Caenorhabditis elegans: one gene and its partners. The protein of the gene in region 1 purifies or fractionates together with the protein of each later gene. This does not show direct contact. Each region holds a gene or a part of one and is shown in the gene's direction. Other genes may lie near its edges. The genes, in order: arx-7, arx-4, arx-2 and arx-5.

The links.
Region 2: the proteins of arx-7 (region 1) and arx-4 fractionate together in Caenorhabditis elegans (co-fractionation; one large-scale study listed by BioGRID). This does not show direct contact.
Region 3: the proteins of arx-7 (region 1) and arx-2 fractionate together in Caenorhabditis elegans (co-fractionation; one large-scale study listed by BioGRID). This does not show direct contact.
Region 4: the proteins of arx-7 (region 1) and arx-5 fractionate together in Caenorhabditis elegans (co-fractionation; one large-scale study listed by BioGRID). This does not show direct contact.

What each region holds. Positions count from the first base shown.
Region 1 is NC_003279.8:3,068,773-3,072,080, reverse strand, and holds arx-7 (Actin-related protein 2/3 complex subunit 5), read left to right. Parts: upstream 1-1,930; 5' UTR 1,931-1,940; coding exon 1,941-2,025; intron 2,026-2,109; coding exon 2,110-2,231; intron 2,232-2,333; coding exon 2,334-2,585; 3' UTR 2,586-2,756; downstream 2,757-3,308. Other genes in the region: pign-1 (GPI ethanolamine phosphate transferase 1), read right to left, coding at 2,831-3,052.
Region 2 is NC_003281.10:860,774-865,938, forward strand, and holds arx-4 (putative actin-related protein 2/3 complex subunit 2), read left to right. Parts: upstream 1-1,532; 5' UTR 1,533-1,536; coding exon 1,537-1,610; intron 1,611-2,024; coding exon 2,025-2,118; intron 2,119-2,165; coding exon 2,166-2,219; intron 2,220-2,269; coding exon 2,270-2,505; intron 2,506-4,041; coding exon 4,042-4,489; 3' UTR 4,490-4,623; downstream 4,624-5,165. Other genes in the region: exos-4.2 (Exoribonuclease phosphorolytic domain-containing protein), read left to right, coding at 1-391. UniProt on the Caenorhabditis elegans protein: Functions as actin-binding component of the Arp2/3 complex which is involved in regulation of actin polymerization and together with an activating nucleation-promoting factor (NPF) mediates the formation of branched actin networks.
Region 3 is NC_003283.11:10,334,911-10,340,137, reverse strand, and holds arx-2 (Actin-related protein 2), read left to right. Parts: upstream 1-1,782; 5' UTR 1,783-1,787; coding exon 1,788-1,835; intron 1,836-1,887; coding exon 1,888-1,998; intron 1,999-2,041; coding exon 2,042-2,305; intron 2,306-2,351; coding exon 2,352-2,513; intron 2,514-2,610; coding exon 2,611-2,899; intron 2,900-2,948; coding exon 2,949-3,088; intron 3,089-4,188; coding exon 4,189-4,362; 3' UTR 4,363-4,675; downstream 4,676-5,227. Other genes in the region: K07C5.2 (NADP-dependent oxidoreductase domain-containing protein), read right to left, coding at 84-202, 251-381, 432-635.
Region 4 is NC_003281.10:12,816,268-12,819,667, reverse strand, and holds arx-5 (putative actin-related protein 2/3 complex subunit 3), read left to right. Parts: upstream 1-1,567; 5' UTR 1,568-1,571; coding exon 1,572-1,680; intron 1,681-1,736; coding exon 1,737-1,810; intron 1,811-1,855; coding exon 1,856-1,930; intron 1,931-2,448; coding exon 2,449-2,742; 3' UTR 2,743-2,879; downstream 2,880-3,400. Other genes in the region: Y37D8A.25 (PH domain-containing protein), read left to right, coding at 474-655, 788-944; BE10.4 (DUF148 domain-containing protein), read right to left, coding at 2,958-3,095. UniProt on the Caenorhabditis elegans protein: Functions as a component of the Arp2/3 complex which is involved in regulation of actin polymerization and together with an activating nucleation-promoting factor (NPF) mediates the formation of branched actin networks.

The sequences.
Region 1 (3,308 bases):
GTTCTAGTTTTAAATTCAAAAATTCAAACGGCAAATTTTGCCGCCAGAGACGCCAATTCGATTAAAAACAGTTTTTTAAAAGTGTTTTTGGATTTTTTTTTTCGAAAAAAAAATTGCAATTTTTTTTGGGTATTTTGGAAAATTTTTTAGATTTTTAAAAAGTTTGTTACAAATTTTTTGCTCTTTTTTTGAGGAATTTTTTCACTTTAAAATTCGGTATCAGGAGCGTGTCATTTTTGTGCCATTTTTCGAAGTTTTTCGGTGAAAATCGAAAAATCGAAAAAAATGTTCAGAAAATTTACCATAAAATATGATTTTTTATCTAATTTTGTTTATATTGGTAAGAAAAAACATTAAAATTTCTTCTAAAAAGAAGGATAATGGCCAAAATATTAAGCGAATTTTTTTCGAAAATCGGAAAATCGAAAAATCGAAAAACTAACATTTTCGATTTTTTGAAAAAAAAATCGAAAAACTGACACCCTTGATCAGGAGCATAAATAGGGTCTATAAAAAATAAAATTAAATATTTTAATCCAATCTCAATAATTTCCAGATCTTGCCCCATCCAAAAGTGCATTTCGACAGTTTTTGTTCCAGTCTCAATTCAGCCGCCTTCATGTCAACTCGCTTTATTCTCCATTGAAATCCTCTTCCTCACCCACCTCCTGTACACTATTCTGTACTCTCTCTCTCTCTTTCCATTTCCCCAATTATCTTGAATATGCTCGTATTATATCGCATCCATGTAAAATAGATAACTATTGCTCATCATCTTTTCCCCATGTTTTTTTTGGTGTATTTGCTCTTCTGTTTTGTTCTGGTTTTGGATTTTTTTAATTCAAAAAATTCGATTTTTTCTTCTCGGGAAAGGTGAGTTTTCTAGTTTAAAGCCCTTCCCAATCAGAGAATAATCTATTTCTTCTGCTCCCCCATACGGTTCTTTATCGCAAAAAGAACAGTTTTTCTCGGAGATCGGTCCTCTTCTTGAACGGTCTTGAAGGGCCGTTTTAGTCTCATCTCAACCTTCCAAGAAGGGTACGGAGCTTTTTTTCAAATTTTTATTATATATGACTATGGAAAAAGTGCATAAATCGTTCTGTTCACCAAATCTACTCTTTATTGAAAAAAAACACACACAATTTAGCAGATTTTCAGCGGGTTTTCTCACAAAATTGAGGCTTTTTCGTGTTTTTGGCGATAAAAATTGTCGCTTTTAACCGGAAAAGTTGTAAAAAACGCACACATTTTTCAAGAAAAAACTTAGAATTTTTGCCAACTAATGTAATTTTTAAAATTTCCTCTGAAAAATTCAAAATTCCAGCTTCAAAAATTGGAAATTTAAAGTTTTCGCTCGGAAAATTAACAGTTTTGTAAAATTTTCAAATTTTTTAGCTCCAAAATATGGGGATTTACTAAAAAATTGATGTATTTGTTTCAAAAATTGGAAATTTGGAAAAATTCGAAAAAACCCCAATTTTTGAAGGTTTTGCTTGAAAATCATAGAAATTAATTTCAGGAGCTTCTAGAAATAATGGCATCCAAGAATAAATAGCGTTTATTTGGTACGAATATTCCCAAAACGCTGTTTCTCGCCAATTTTTCAGAGTTTTCGACGAAAATGGCGATAAAAGTCCCAAAATGGAGGAGTTTTCGATAAAATTAAATGAATCTAATCCCGAATAATTGTTTCTCACTTTTTTTCAAAAGGAAAATTCACATTAAAACACTCTTTTTTTCGAGATATTTATTAATTTTAATAAAACCAAAAAAAAAAAAAAAAAATTAACTACGAAGCTCCGTAATTCCGCATGCGCGTGTTGTTTAGTGCCACTGTGTACTCTTCTCGGACAAGCTAACCGATTTATTTTTCTTTCGCAATTTTCAAATCCACCGCGCCACATTTTCATTTAAAAATCTCTTGTTTCAGATAGGAAAAAATGTCGAAAAACATGCAAAACACCTCGTACCGAAAGCTGGATGTGGACTCTTTCGACCCGGAACAGTACGATGAGAATGACGAGAGTGAGTCATTTGTGTACTTAAGGCGCGCGGAAATTATTGATTTTTCGTGTGCATTTGAATAAATAATTTGTTATTTAATTTTAGCAGTCGATACTCCTGGACTTGGACCCGATGAGCGCGCGGTTCAGGGATTTTTGAGCTCGAATCGGCTTGAGGATGCTCTTCATGCGGCTCTTCTCTCCCCGCCACTTAAAACCAAAGATCAGGTGAGATTTAATAAGCTTATTTGGGCTTAGGCATAGGCCTAGGCCTAGGTTTTGGCTTAAGCTGGCCAGGGAAGAGACAGAAAGAAAAATTTTCAATTTCAGAACGTAAAAGACCGCGCCACACAGCTCGTCACAAAAGTTCTGCAATCCTTCAAAAACGCGGAAATCGAGGCGACTGTCCAGAAGCTTTCGATAGAAGAAAGTGATATTCTCATGAAATACGTCTACAAATCAATGGAAATCGGCGCCGACGCGGCCGTCTGTCAGTCTTTGCTCGCGTGGCACGCTCAACTCGTCGCAAAATTCGGTCACGGAGCCATTATGCGTGTCTTCTCCGGTCGCCAACGTCTCTGATTTATTCCCGAATCGTTGTGTTTGCTGTGATATTCATTCCCCCATCGCTCTCCACATGTTTCTTGTGAATTTTGAATATTTTTTGTTTCGCCTTAAGCTTTATGATGATATTTATTTTAATTCTTTCTGATATTCGAAAAAGTTTTTGAAAGATAAATTAAAGCACCACGGAATAGTATCTATCACACGATTGAAAATGGCATCACGAATTGAAAAATAACAATTAAAAATCTGAAAAAAATTATTTAAGCAGATTCGTCGTCGGATAACTTCCGGGAAGAGATCGATTCGATTTCCTGGTGATTTCTTTTTCCAGGAAATTTTCGGAATTCAAATGCCATAAGATGACTGGAAATCGAGAGAAGTAGCAGAAGAGCAAGAGAAATGCACATTGAAACGATGAATTGAGAAATGCTCATACCAATATCCAACCAGCTACCCTCATCTCGAAGTTGGTGGAAGAAACACTGAAAATGCACGGGGTTTTAGGCGGAATTAATCTCAAACAAATTTTTACTGAAAAAATCGGGAATTTTTTTATTCGAAATTAAATATGTTGATTAATTTTGATTAAAATATTCAAGTTTTCCAAAAAAATGTTTCAAATTTACCAAAAAAAAATCTTTCTCGCTTTTTCATCTTTTTATCAAAACAAGTTTTTTTTTCGAAAAAAAACATTTTTTAATTTCCGAAAAAAAATATTTTTCCTTTTTTTTGCCGTCG
Region 2 (5,165 bases), on another chromosome or scaffold:
CGCGAGCAAATATCCTGGAAAAGTGATCGAAATCGAGATAACCGTTCTTTCGGATGATGGTGGTGTTCTTTCAACTGCACTTTCAGCTGTCACACTAGCCATTTCTCATTCTGGAATTGAAAATATGGGATTAATGGCCAGTGTTCATGTGGCAATGAATTCTGATGGAGAATGCTTGACGGATCCATCAACTTCCGAATCCGAAGGAGCCATCGGTGGCGTCACATTCGCTTTCGTTCCGAATCTTGGCCAAACAACGTGTGTGGACATTTACGGACGAATCCCTCTCAAATCCACGTCATCACTTTTGGAATTTGCGAAGCAAAGAGCGTGTGCTCTGGTTCCGACGATTCATAAGGCAATTGTGAACAGTGTGCGAGAGAGAAAATAAATGTGTTGACAATTTTTAAATTTATCTCTCATTCCGAATATCTAATTTAGAAAAAAAAGTTTTTGCCCGATTATTTGAAAATACATTTTTCCGTCTAAATTGAACATTAAATAGAAATATAAAATTGAATTCGACAAAATTTTTTTTGAAAATATTTTTTAGTTCGTGATTTCAAGCTGAAATATAAAAAAACAGATATTCAAAATATCATGCTCAAAAAAAATATGGAAAAAAGAAATATCTTCGTTTGCATTAAATTTTTTTCGAATTCTTGAAAATTTTTTTCGAATTCTTGAGAATGAGAATTTGAAAAAAAAAATCTCAAGCGAAAATATTGAACATTTCCATATTTTTGAGCATGATATTTTGAATATCGGTTTTTTTTTATTTTAGCTCGAAATCACGAATTTCAAAAATTTGTCAAAATTAACATTACCGAATTCACAAGTTTAAAAAGGATTAAAAATTAACATTACCGAATTCACAAGTTTAAAAAGGATTAAACTTGTGAATTCGGTAAAGTTAATTTTGACAAATTTTTGAAATTCGTGATTTCGAGCTAAAATATAAAAAAAAACCGATATTCAAAATATCATGCTCGAAAATATGGAAATGTTCAATATTTTCGCTTGAGATTTTTTTTTCAAATTCTCAAGAATTCGAAAAAAAAATTTTTATTTTTAAAACGCTCAATTTAGACGGGAAAATGTATTTTTCAAAATCGGACGAAAACTTCTTTTTTTTCTAAATTAGATATTCGCCGATACATTTTCTAAAAATTCAATTAATTATCCCCGATTTCACTTCAAATGCACCCCCTTCCATCTTTAATGAATGGGAGGAAAGAGCGCTCCACTGCACACAGATTCTTTGAGTAAATATAATACTGTTTAGTCACCTTCCCTTTTGCCTTCTCCGTCGTTTCTTTCTCATTTCTTTCTTGTTGATTTTGTTGTTGTTTCCCTTTTCATTTTGTTCAACCGTCGTGGTTTTCACAGTTTTCCTTCATTTTAAATACAATGAATTCAGAATTCTCTATGCATTTAATACCCTTCTTATTCCGTCGCTGGTCGCGGTTTTGTATTTTAATTCCTTTTTAATTGTTTTTGTACATTTCTCTCTCTATTTTCTACACTTTCAGAAAAATGATCATTTTGGAGCAAAACAACCGAATTATCGTGGAACTTCTCGAGCAAAAATTTGCAAACGCGAAGGAAGGGTTGGTTTTTTTTTGAATTTTAAACGTATTTTTGTAATTTTGAAAGAAAACATAACTGCATAATTTTCCTTTATTTTTAAATTAAAAACATTACCTTTCCGAAATTATTACGGAAATTTCGTTATTTTTTCAAACGTTTGTTGAAAACAATACCAAGAAAAAGTAAACTTGTGTGCGGTTTTCCCGTAGATATAGGTCTCGCCACGAATTTAGCATTTTCAGGCTTTAAAAAGTGTATGTTTTTATAAAGAGTATAGTAATTTCTCCATGGTTCTTCAACTGAAGTGCCAGAGAAACAACGATGTGTGTGAGAGTAATGTACTTTTTGAAGGCACATAGCGTTAAATTGAAAATGATTTGATCGTGGCGAGACCTTAATATATTGTTACTCTCACTAATAATCACCTTTTTCAGTGGAAAACCAGAGTCGGTCAACGTGACATTCGCCGATTTTGACGGAGTTCTCTACAAACTTTCGAATCCAGATGGCGATAGAACCAAGATAATTGTTAGAAACTTTTTCACAGTCTAATAATTTTTAAAACTAATTTTCAGCTGAGCATCTCGCTAAAATTCTACACGGAACTGCAGCAACACGGAGCGGATGATGTATGTCGCCGCTTTTTTCTGATGAATATTTGATTTTCCAAAATTTCCAGCTCCTTCGTCGTGTGTACGGTGGTCATATGCGTTCAACTCCGGAACAAGGATTTAATGTCACTCTGGAATACAATTTGGCCGATCTTCCGGCAGATACAACGGATTTGGTGCAGGCAGCTTCTGCTTTGAAGAGAAATTGTTTTGCTTCAGTCTTTGAAAAGTATTTCGAATTCCAAGAGGCCGGCCAGGAGGGGCATAAGAGAGCTGTTATTAATTATAGAGATGATGAGACAATGTGAGTACCGGTTGTGTTATGGCGTTATTCGAGAAGTGTCGAAAAATTTAAAAGTGTAGAAAAACTACGCCACAACTGTTTTAAAATACATAAAAACATGTATTTTAATACAGTTGTGGCGTCATAAATGTTTTTGAACACATTTTGCAAAATTACTTGATTAACCCCATTAAACGAGGAAAGTTGAAAAATGTTCAATATTATAAAGATTTGTTCAATTAAAATAATTTCACAGAGAAAGGCTGAAAAGTGGCGTTTTTATTCCAGTTTTCGTGGATTTTCAGAGAATTTGATTTATTATTTAACTATCAAAAGATATAAAAATTTTCGATTTTTTCATATTTCGAAAAAATTCCAAGTTTGCCGGAATTTTTCAATTCCTGCACTTTGCCGTTTTGCCGGTTTTCCGCCCACCCCTGAATCGACTCTCTACAATTTTTCAAATAAATAATTTATTATTAGGTCTCCAAATAAGTTCCGGGTCAAAAATCATAACTTTGTTCGCTGCGAATCGATTTTTATGAAATTGTGGGAATTTATGTTATCAACCATGATCTTTCATTTGACAATAGTCACAAAATTTTTTGGCCGTCCGAAGTGCCCGTACTCATAGCCAATTTTTTCAGGCATTTTTCAGATCTCGCTTCTTTTCAGGTTTCAACTAAGGTTTGTGTGCGGATATTGCTTAGTTTAGTACACAATGTAAGAGAACAAGAAAAGTTTGAAAAAAATCCGTCCAAAAAAATTTTTTTGTCGATCGTCAAAAAATCTTCAAAAAATTTTTTGTCGAAAATTCTTAATTTTTCATACAAAAATGATGTAACCATGTGCAAACTATTTTTACACATACAAAAAATTTCAATTTAGTGCGTCTCACTAAAAAAAAATAACAAAAAACACAGCTTTTTCGAACTATTTTCGAGTTTTTGGAGTATTTCTCAAGATCCAAATTTCATACTCAAATGTTTTGTATGTGTAAAAATAGTTTGCACATGGTTACATCATTTTTGTATAAAAATTCAAGAATTTTCGACAAAAATTTTTTTGTAGATTTTTTGACGAGCGACAAAAAAAATTTTTTTGGACGGATTTTTTTTCAAACTTTTCTTGTTTTCTTACATTGTGTACTTAATTAAGCAATATCCGCACACAAACCTCAGTTGAAACCTGAAAAGAAGCGAGATCTGAAAATGCCTGAAAAAATTGGCTCCGAGTACGGACACTTCGGACGGCCAAAAAATTTTGTGACTATTGTCAAATGAAAGATCATGGTTGATAACATAAATTCCCAAAGTTTCATAAAAATCGATTCGCAGCGAACAAAGTTATGATTTTTGACCCGGAACTTATTTGGAGATCTAATAATAATCACAAATTTGCCATTTTCTCTGAAAAATAGTAAGAATTAATAAAAAAGTGTTTTTCACTTTTTCAATACGCACAAATTTCTTATTTTTTGAACAAAAAATTCTGAAAAACAGTACTTTTTAATTGTAATACTGCAAATAATATACTTTAAACCCCAATGATTTTCAGGTACATTGAAGCGAAAGCGGATCGTGTGACCGTAATCTTCAGTACAGTTTTCAAGGACGCTGACGATGTGATAATCGGAAAAGTGTTCCTTCAAGAATTCCGTGAAGGCCGAAAAGCCAGTCAAACTGCTCCAGCAGTACTCTACTCACTCGGTGAACCACCTTTGGAGCTTAAAGATCTTCCAGAAGCCCGTGTTGGAGACAATGTTGGATACATTACATTTGTGTTGTTCCCACGTCACACAAATAAGAAGACAAAAGACAATACGATTGATTTGATTCATTCGTTCCGTGACTATCTTCATTATCATATCAAATGTTCCAAAGTCTACCTTCACACCAGAATGCGTGCCAAGACCACTGATTTCTTGAAGGTTCTCAATCGGGCACGTCCAGAGGTCAAAGGAGAAAAGAAGACGTTCCATGGAAGAACTTTTCAGACCCAATAAATGTACAAATTATCACAATTGTTACCAAATATTTTTTTTCTGTTTTCGCTTTAAAACCTTATTTATTGCTTTGATTGTAAAATGTTCTTATGAGGTTCGTGAAATTTTGATATGAAATGAATTATTGCAGTAAAATGGAGAGCGATAGTTAAGGCACAATTTGTGGAATGATATCAATTACTATCCGATTTCAAAGAAGAAAAACATGGACGGGCTGAAAATGCATAGGGATCGGAGGAGAGAGAGGAGAACAGGTATTCAGGTAGACCCTAGTAGTTTGACCTACGAAACTTGCGGGAATGGTGTTTACGCGTCATGGCAAACAACGAGGAGTCCACCTGAACACATGTAATGTAATAATGAAGAAATCTCCTAAAAATCATAAAAATTTTCAAATATTATCATTTGGAGCAATTTTACGGGCCTCTAAAGTAGTGAAAAAAAAAACACTATTCAGCTCGATTTTTATCCAGTTCAAAGTGTTTTTTTGCCGGCCTATTTAGGAGGTACTCTTTTAACATAGATTTCATCCAGAAGTCGGGGTTAACTTGAAATACTTCCCTTGTTCTCTCACATGATCTAAAATACTCATTCACATCTTTTAGTTGTCCTGCAAATACGCTTCACATTTTTTTTCTTCAATTTTTTGCAATTCATGTATGCTGAATTCAGAAAA
Region 3 (5,227 bases), on another chromosome or scaffold:
TATTATTTCAAAATAATTGATAACGCCAACCACGTTGAAAAAGGAACTCAACTTTATATGAAATGACCATGAAACCAACATACCTTTTGCCTTTTCAAGTGTCTGCCAAACAATTTTCCTTCTACTTTTGTTAATTTCGTAGTCATCATCGTTTCCAGTATCACGGTCACGTGGATAGTGAATTAAAAGAAGATCTACATAACTGAAAATAGAAATAATTCTGATGATAACTCAACAAATATTTTCCTACTCGGTTTGCAAAGTTGCAAGGGAATTGGCTAGTTGTTTCTCAGTTTCCTCCACAGTATTTTCATTGAGAGTACGAACTTTAGTAGTGATGAACACATCTTCACGTGTCAAGCCAAATTGTGGTAGATATTTCTAAAATTTTAGAGGTTTGAATAGTTTTTCAGAAATCAGTTTAAATTTACCTTCAGGGAATTACCAAGAAACGTTTCGTTTTTGTAGAGATTGGCTGTGTCAAATTGACGATATCCAGATTTCAGAGCGGCTTCAATAGAGACATCTAAATCTTGTTGAGTTTCAATTCGAGAGATTCCAAGACCAATTTTTGGCATTTCGTATCCATCGGAAAACTTGAATGCACCACCAACAACATTTGTGAAAACACTCATAGTCTGAAAATACATTTAAATGAGATAAAAGAATATAAAAATGGCAAGAAATGAAGAATAGAGGACATTAAATATAAATAAGAGATAGGTAGAGGAGGAGGGGGACAGTTCAACAAACAATGGAAGTTTCATTGAACAATTTTTGAAAGTTAAGATGTGATGTTTGTTGTAATTTACACTATTCAATGGTAATTCATAGACTTTGAACGAAGCGTTCGATCATTGAAACACTCTCTTTGCGAAGTTTGTATTTAGAGTTCAATAAGTTTACTAAACAGAGAAAAATTGAATTAACAGAAGAATGACGTTATATTGTGATCATTTCCAATCACGATAGGAACACTACCATATACACATGACCTATCCTAGTTGTTATGTTGTCTCTTCCCATTTTTCTTAAAATTAACTGAGAAATTAAAATTTTGGATGTGAGGAAGAGCCTTTATTATAAAAAGCCATGTTTCATGTGGAAATAATTCGGTACAATCCATATCGCAACTTATTTATTACAGATGTTGAAAATGTTTTTTTACATAAATATTCAGAAATTTCTACCAAAAACTAATCACACAAGTAAAAAAAATCATAAATATGGTAAACATGTAAATAAAAATAAATGTTATAAATAAAACTAATAAAATAATAAAAAAAACAAAGGTTCATGATTTAGATTTTTTAAATCTGTTTTTACACTACGATACTCTTGCTGCAAATCTGCTCCATCGACAACCAATTCCCTGCGTCTCCACTATAGACAGAACTGTCATGTTTTTATTTCAATAGAATTTCCTTATTTCTTTTCTGTATATTTTAATCTTATAATTGTTTTCGTATTCTATGAAGAACATAAAAATTCTCGCGAAATTGTAGAAACATTTTTCCATCGACTTCCGCGTATTTTGACGGCGATCTCCACTAAATATAGTCAGATTTACTTTCCAGAAACCCTCGTTCATTAAATTAAAATCTAAGTAATGTAAAATATTGCTTAAATGTTCGTACTTTGTTCTATTTTAAGCCAACTAAGACAGTGTCAAAACGAAATTTTTACCGGTTTCATCGATTGGCAAGCAAATTTGCTATTTATTTACTTTTCTTCTCTTTATGACTCATTCGAAACCCGCACAATCGATTTAACAATTTTCAGGCGAAATGGATTCGCAAGGGCGAAAGGTGATTGTCGTTGACAACGGAACAGGTGTAAGTTGCAAAATTTTATCCCATTTTATTTTCAAAAATTCTGTATTTGCAGTTCGTCAAATGCGGGTATGCAGGAACCAATTTCCCAGCTCATATATTCCCTTCAATGGTCGGTCGGCCAATCGTGAGATCGACACAAAGAGTTGGAAATATTGAAATTAAGGTAAAACTTTACACAGAAAGGTCTTATAACTGTTTTCTCACAGGATTTGATGGTTGGCGAGGAGTGCTCTCAGCTTCGTCAAATGCTTGATATCAATTATCCCATGGACAACGGAATTGTTAGAAACTGGGATGATATGGCGCATGTATGGGATCATACTTTTGGACCGGAAAAGTTGGATATCGACCCGAAAGAGTGTAAACTGCTGCTGACAGAACCACCACTCAATCCGAACAGCAATCGTGAGAAAATGTTTCAAGTTATGTTTGAGCAGTATGGATTCAATTCTATCTATGTGGCGGTTCAGGTAATAGTTAATCCTCATGATAAAATCATAATGATTATATTTTCAGGCTGTGCTCACTCTTTATGCTCAAGGTCTTTTGACAGGAGTTGTAGTTGACTCCGGAGATGGTGTTACCCACATCTGTCCTGTTTACGAAGGATTTGCTCTTCATCATTTGACAAGACGATTGGATATTGCAGGAAGAGATATTACCAAGTATCTTATCAAGGTAAGTTTTTAAATGTTACATATTAATTCAATTATTTTCCTGATTGCTATAGTGACAAAATATGGTTTATTAGAAACTAACATATATTTGTTTTCAGCTTCTTCTGCAACGTGGATACAACTTCAATCACTCTGCTGACTTTGAAACTGTTCGCCAAATGAAGGAAAAGCTTTGTTACATTGCATATGATGTTGAGCAAGAAGAACGTTTGGCACTAGAGACTACAGTTCTTTCTCAACAATACACTCTTCCTGATGGTCGTGTGATTCGTCTCGGAGGTGAACGATTCGAAGCTCCAGAAATTCTATTCCAACCACATCTGATTAATGTTGAAAAAGCTGGTCTCTCGGAACTTCTTTTCGGATGTATTCAAGCCAGTGATATAGGTATTTCAAAAATGAAATTGTGCATTTCCATTATAAATCCCTTTTATAGATACTCGCCTTGATTTCTACAAGCATATCGTACTTTCCGGTGGAACCACTATGTATCCAGGATTGCCCAGCCGTCTTGAGAAGGAACTGAAACAGCTGTATTTGGATCGCGTATTGCATGGAAATACTGACGCGTTCCAGGTAACGAATTTCCGAAAATTCGGCCACAAGGATATTGCCGGAATAATGTTGAGACTAGGCAATTGTCAAAATGCCGATCGCTGAGTTTTTCAAAATTCAGCAGTTGTCAAAGTTTCGAATTATCAAAAATAAATTCCAATTACCGAATAGAAAATTGAAAATATTCAGGTCGTTTTGAGTTATATTTCTTCATCAAAAACACATTTACTACAGTAGAAATTGATTTTTTTTGTTAATTTTTATAGTTATTTTTTCTAATAGTTTTGAACCCGGTAATTGCCGAAATTTTTTGTCGCCGAATTTCTAAATTTTCGAAAATTTTTATAACTCGAAAATTTCTGAAAATTTTTTATTTTCGCCCACTATGGCTGTCTTTTTTTTAATCAAAAAAAATCGATTAAAGATTAGTTTCAAAACAGTTGGTAGTAGAATTGAAATTTTTTCCACAAATAATTATCAATCAAAAAGTAAAAAGTTTTTTTGAAAAAAAAAAAACAATTTTTATGTAATGCCAATTTTTGAATGGGAAGTATTACGAAAGCACAAATTTCTGAAAATGCGTATCGCGAAATATATTTTACGCGCAAAATATCTCGTAGCGAACACTACAGTAATCCTTTGTATGACTACTATAGTTCTTGTGTAGATTCAAGAGCTCGATTAGCTGAGTTGAATCATTTATTTATTGATAGAACATTATTAAAGTTAAGAAAACAGATCAAAAAGAAATTCATTTTAAAAATCAAGCTCATTAAACTAGACAATGTTAAAGGATTACTGTAGTTTTCGCTATGAAATATTTTGCGCGTCAAATATGTTGCACTCTACGCATTCCCAGATATTTGTGTTCCTGTAGTAGTTTTACTTTTGGTTATTTGACCATTCCTTTTAAGAATGGCGCTTTTGGTCGTCAATGACGATTTGATGATGTGTTAACTAAATGCATTTGATTTCTTCGTGTGAGGTCTCCTAAAAGAACACTCACTCAACATCTTAGTTTTCCGCCCCATCACCCCAGTGTTTACTTACATCCTTCTTTAGTGGGCGTGGCTACGACCTTGAAAAAATTACCAGCAATGTTCCAATTTATTTATTTTCAGAAATTCAAAATCCGTATAGAAGCCCCACCAAGCCGTAAGCACATGGTTTTCCTTGGAGGAGCTGTTCTTGCAAATCTGATGAAGGATCGTGATCAAGATTTTTGGGTTTCAAAGAAAGAATATGAAGAGGGTGGTATTGCAAGATGTATGGCCAAACTTGGAATCAAAGCTTAAATATTGTGACTTTATTTTCGTGTTAACATGTTTAAAAGTGCTTTATGTTCATTTATCCCCGTTTCTCTGAATTCTCTTAAAATCCCCTACCTGTTAACTAATTTATTCTTTATAGGCATCCTATTCTCCCCCACTCTCATTCAAACGTTTATCTTTCAAACCAACAACCACCTGAATCCATCATTCTCTGTTGTAAATACATTTTCCACTTTGAATTCATTCACTTCTTCAACTTACTTTTGGTTTGAAATTGAATTGCGTCACCTCTTATTCCTTCTTCCATTTTTCCATTAAATGAAACCGAAATCATCCAGCAAAAGGGCATTAGAAAAAGAGACAAACGACGACATTGATGACCCGCATTTGATACACGGATACTCTACCACCTGATAACGGATAATTGTTATCTTCAGGCCCGTGTCCTCCTCTATTTCAACTACTTTCATCCGAAATACTCCTTTATTTGCGACATTCGGATTTTTTCTTTCCAACTCATTTATTAACTGATTCATATAATCACATTTAAATCTTTTCAATTCATTTATTTTAATTGGTTTCTCTTTCTTTCCAAAAGGTCCACATAAATCAGTGGTCGATGAAATCGTCAGAAGCGACCGGCACTTCTAAAATGGTGTCGTTTTAGTGTCCTTTCATCGCCTGACCAACCTATCAAACGGGGAGGTCTCGTCTGTGTTGAAGCCAAATTGGAACTTTTTATAGCTGCTTTACTCTCAGAATAGTTTAAACTTTTTTGTTTATTGAACCGTCGGTGAACCTATGTTTTTTGGATTTCGATTCTCGATCAGTTGTGAAAAAATGAAAATTATTATTTTTGAAGATACGAACTGAACTGGAAATGTGAATT
Region 4 (3,400 bases), on another chromosome or scaffold:
AATGTGAAATAATTTTATGATTTTTAAAATTTGAAAAAAAAAATTTTTCAACAAAAAAATCAAAGAAACTTGCAAATTTTAGTTTCTTTGATTTTTTTTTTTTGAAATATAATTTATTTCGTGTAAAGTGAACGAAACTTACTGATTTTTCAATTTTTAAAATAATAAAATACCCAAATTTACACGAAAAAACACATTTTAATTTAAAAAAACCGAAGAAAATGAAGAAAACTGGTTTAAAAAACCGAATTTGGCTGCAAAAAAACCCCTCGTAAATCGACATGGCATGGCGCGCTCCAATGAGAATTTTTCTGGCGCGAGTTTGAAAATTGTTTCGCGCTTTCAAGCTGAAATATAAGATTTTTGAAATTTTTTGAATTTTTTTAAAACAAAATATGGGAAATTTGGAGTAATTTGAAAATTTAAAAAATCAAAAAAATGATTTTTTTATTAAAAAAAAAAGTTTTTTTCAGGATTTCCAATGGCGTGCCGGCTGGGGTGTTCTCAAGGCCAATATGCTTTTCGTGTACAATAAAACCGAAGAGGAGACGTCGGCTCCTCCATTTTTACTACTAATTATTGAAGACTGTTTTATCGAATTATGTGATGAGAATAAGATTGGCAAGGATTTCACTTTTGAAATCAAATTCAAATCGTGCGTTTTTTCCGGGTCTCAACACGAAAAATTAATACTAAATTCCAAAAAAAAACTGAATTTTTATCGGTTTTATCGAAAATCGATGAAAAATCGATTGAAAATTCCTAAAATTATCCGATTTTTTTCCAGAACTGCTCGAAGCTTCATCTTCGCCGCCGACTCGTTCAAATCGCTGGGACGTTGGGTTTCGCTGCTCACAATCTCCCCGATCGACTATATACAGCTCTCGAAACAAAGTTTTCATGAGCAAATCGAGCAAACTCAGAAGAAAGCGATGAGGGATTGATTTTTATACATTTTGCACATTTTCACTGTGATATTTTGACTTATTGATTATAAATCATACATTTTTAACGTTTTTTGCTTTGTTTTGCAGCTGGAATTTCCCTGAATTTATCGTTTTTTTCGCAAAAAATCGCGAAATTTCATTAAAAATTTCCAAACGATGCTCCGATATTCCGATGTCGCGCCTTGTTTACCGTAAACTTACACGAGATTATTATTTATTTTTCCGTTCCTGGAGAGAATTTCATCAGAAAAAACGTTTAAAAAGCAGAAAATCTTTGATTTTTTCCAATTTTTCTTAAATATCTGATTATAGGAAACTTGTAAGCTGATATTAATCATATTAATTCCAAGTTTTCATATATTTTAACACGAATTTCCGAATAAAAGTGTATTTTCGGGTTTTACTTTAATTTTCGCGTCCGCAACGACATTATCGCTTCAAAAACTGCATTTTTATCGAATAAAATACTTATATTTTAATTTAAAACTCGAATTTCACAATTTATCGATTTTTTTTCGCAGCCGCAGTGACTCATTATGTACTTACCCCCCCCCCCCCTCGGGTATCCGAAAATAAGCCGTTTTCTATGCATTTTTCCAAACAAAACACTTATTTTTCAGTGAAATGCCGGCATACCACTCAAAATTCGACACTGAACTCAAAGTTTTGCCATTGGGCAACACAAATATGGGAAAACTTCCGATTCGAACCAATTTCAAGGGTCCAGCGCCTCGTAAGTCTTCAAAAATTGATTGAAAAAACCTATATTATATATTAAAATTATTGCAGAAACCAATCAGGATGACATCATCGACGAAGCGCTCACCTACTTCAAGCCGAACATCTTTTTCCGCGAATTTGAGGTTGATTTTCGAGATTTTTCCCTATTAAAATTGAGAAATTTTCAGATCAAAGGTCCCGCGGACCGTACAATGATCTATCTCATCTTCTACATCACCGAGTGCCTCAGAAAATTGCAAAAAGTACGGATTTTGCACGAAAAAAACCTACTTTTTAGATTGAAAAATAAGAAAAAAAGACCCAAACATACCGAATTTCAATGGATATTTTGAACATTCCTACCGAAAACAGATTTTTTTAAGTAGAAAATTTCAAATTCGAAACATTTTCGATTTTCTCTGAAAAAATCCCAAATTCTTTCAATTTTCTCTGAAAAATCCACAAATTTTAAGGTTTTCTCTGAAAAAATCGAATTTTTTTGGTTTTTCCCTGAAAAAAATCTAAAAATTGTTTAATATTCCCTGAAAATTCCAAAATTTTTCTGGTTTTCCCTGAAAAAATCCGAAAATTTTTCGATTTTCACTGAAAAAATCCGAAATTTTTCCGATTTTCTTCGGAGAAATCCAACTTTTTTTTTTCTCAAAATTTTGGAAATTATAAAAAAAAATTCTAGTTACAAAATTCGGTCTTTTCGGGCTATTTTGAGTGAAATAAAGCGTAAAAACATGTTTTTTTTTTGCAAATTTTTTCAAATTTTCAGAGCCCAAACAAGATAGCCGGCCAAAAGGATCTTCACGCCTTGGCTCTCAGTCATTTGCTTCCAATTCCCGGTGAAAATGGATTCCCACTGAACAGCATGTACAAGGCGCCCCAATCGAAACCGGACGAGGACGAAATGCGTGCCTATTTGCAACAAATTCGCCAAGAAATCGGCGCCCGTCTGTGTGATCTCGCGTTCCCGGATCCCCAAGATCGTCCGAGCAAGTGGTGGCTCTGTTTCGCGAGAAGACGATTCATGGACAAGGGGCTCGTTGGACAGGGTGTTAATTTGTGAATTATCGATTAATTATTGTTGTATCTGGCTCAAAATTTTTTCACTTTTCCCATTTTTTTTTCCATGTAATTATATTTATATTGCGTCCAGTTTTACTTTTTGTGCTGCTTTAAAATATTCATTAAAATTCCGATTTCATCATTTTATTACGGTAACGCAACATATTTTGCGCGCGTCAAATATGTTGTGCGCGAAATACGCGAAATCTCTATGCTCTACCGATAATTTGTCTGCTTGGATCCCATCACTGACAACAAAAACGCCACGGTATCGTGTACGACTTCTGGAGCAGTTATCTGGCAACGTGCCAAGTGACTTCGAACCTCTTCGGGAAGTTGGGAGACTGGAAGAGCCTGGAAATTGAGAAAAATTGAAAATTTTAAGATTTTCTCCGAGAAAATTGGAAAATAGTCGAATTTTTTTCAGAAAACCCCAAATATAGGCCTTTTTTATTAGAAAATCGAAAAATTTTCAGGTTTTTTCAAATAAAATCGGGAAAAAAACTATTAATTTCCCGTAATTTTCCAAGATTTCCGTCTTAAAGGCGCACAGATTTGTTCAGATGGGTCTCGGCGCGCAAAAAAGTTTATGGTACTTTTTTTTCTTTTTTCCTGTTAAAAATTGTTTTAAATCAGTTTTTTTGCCGTTTTCCAGTCAG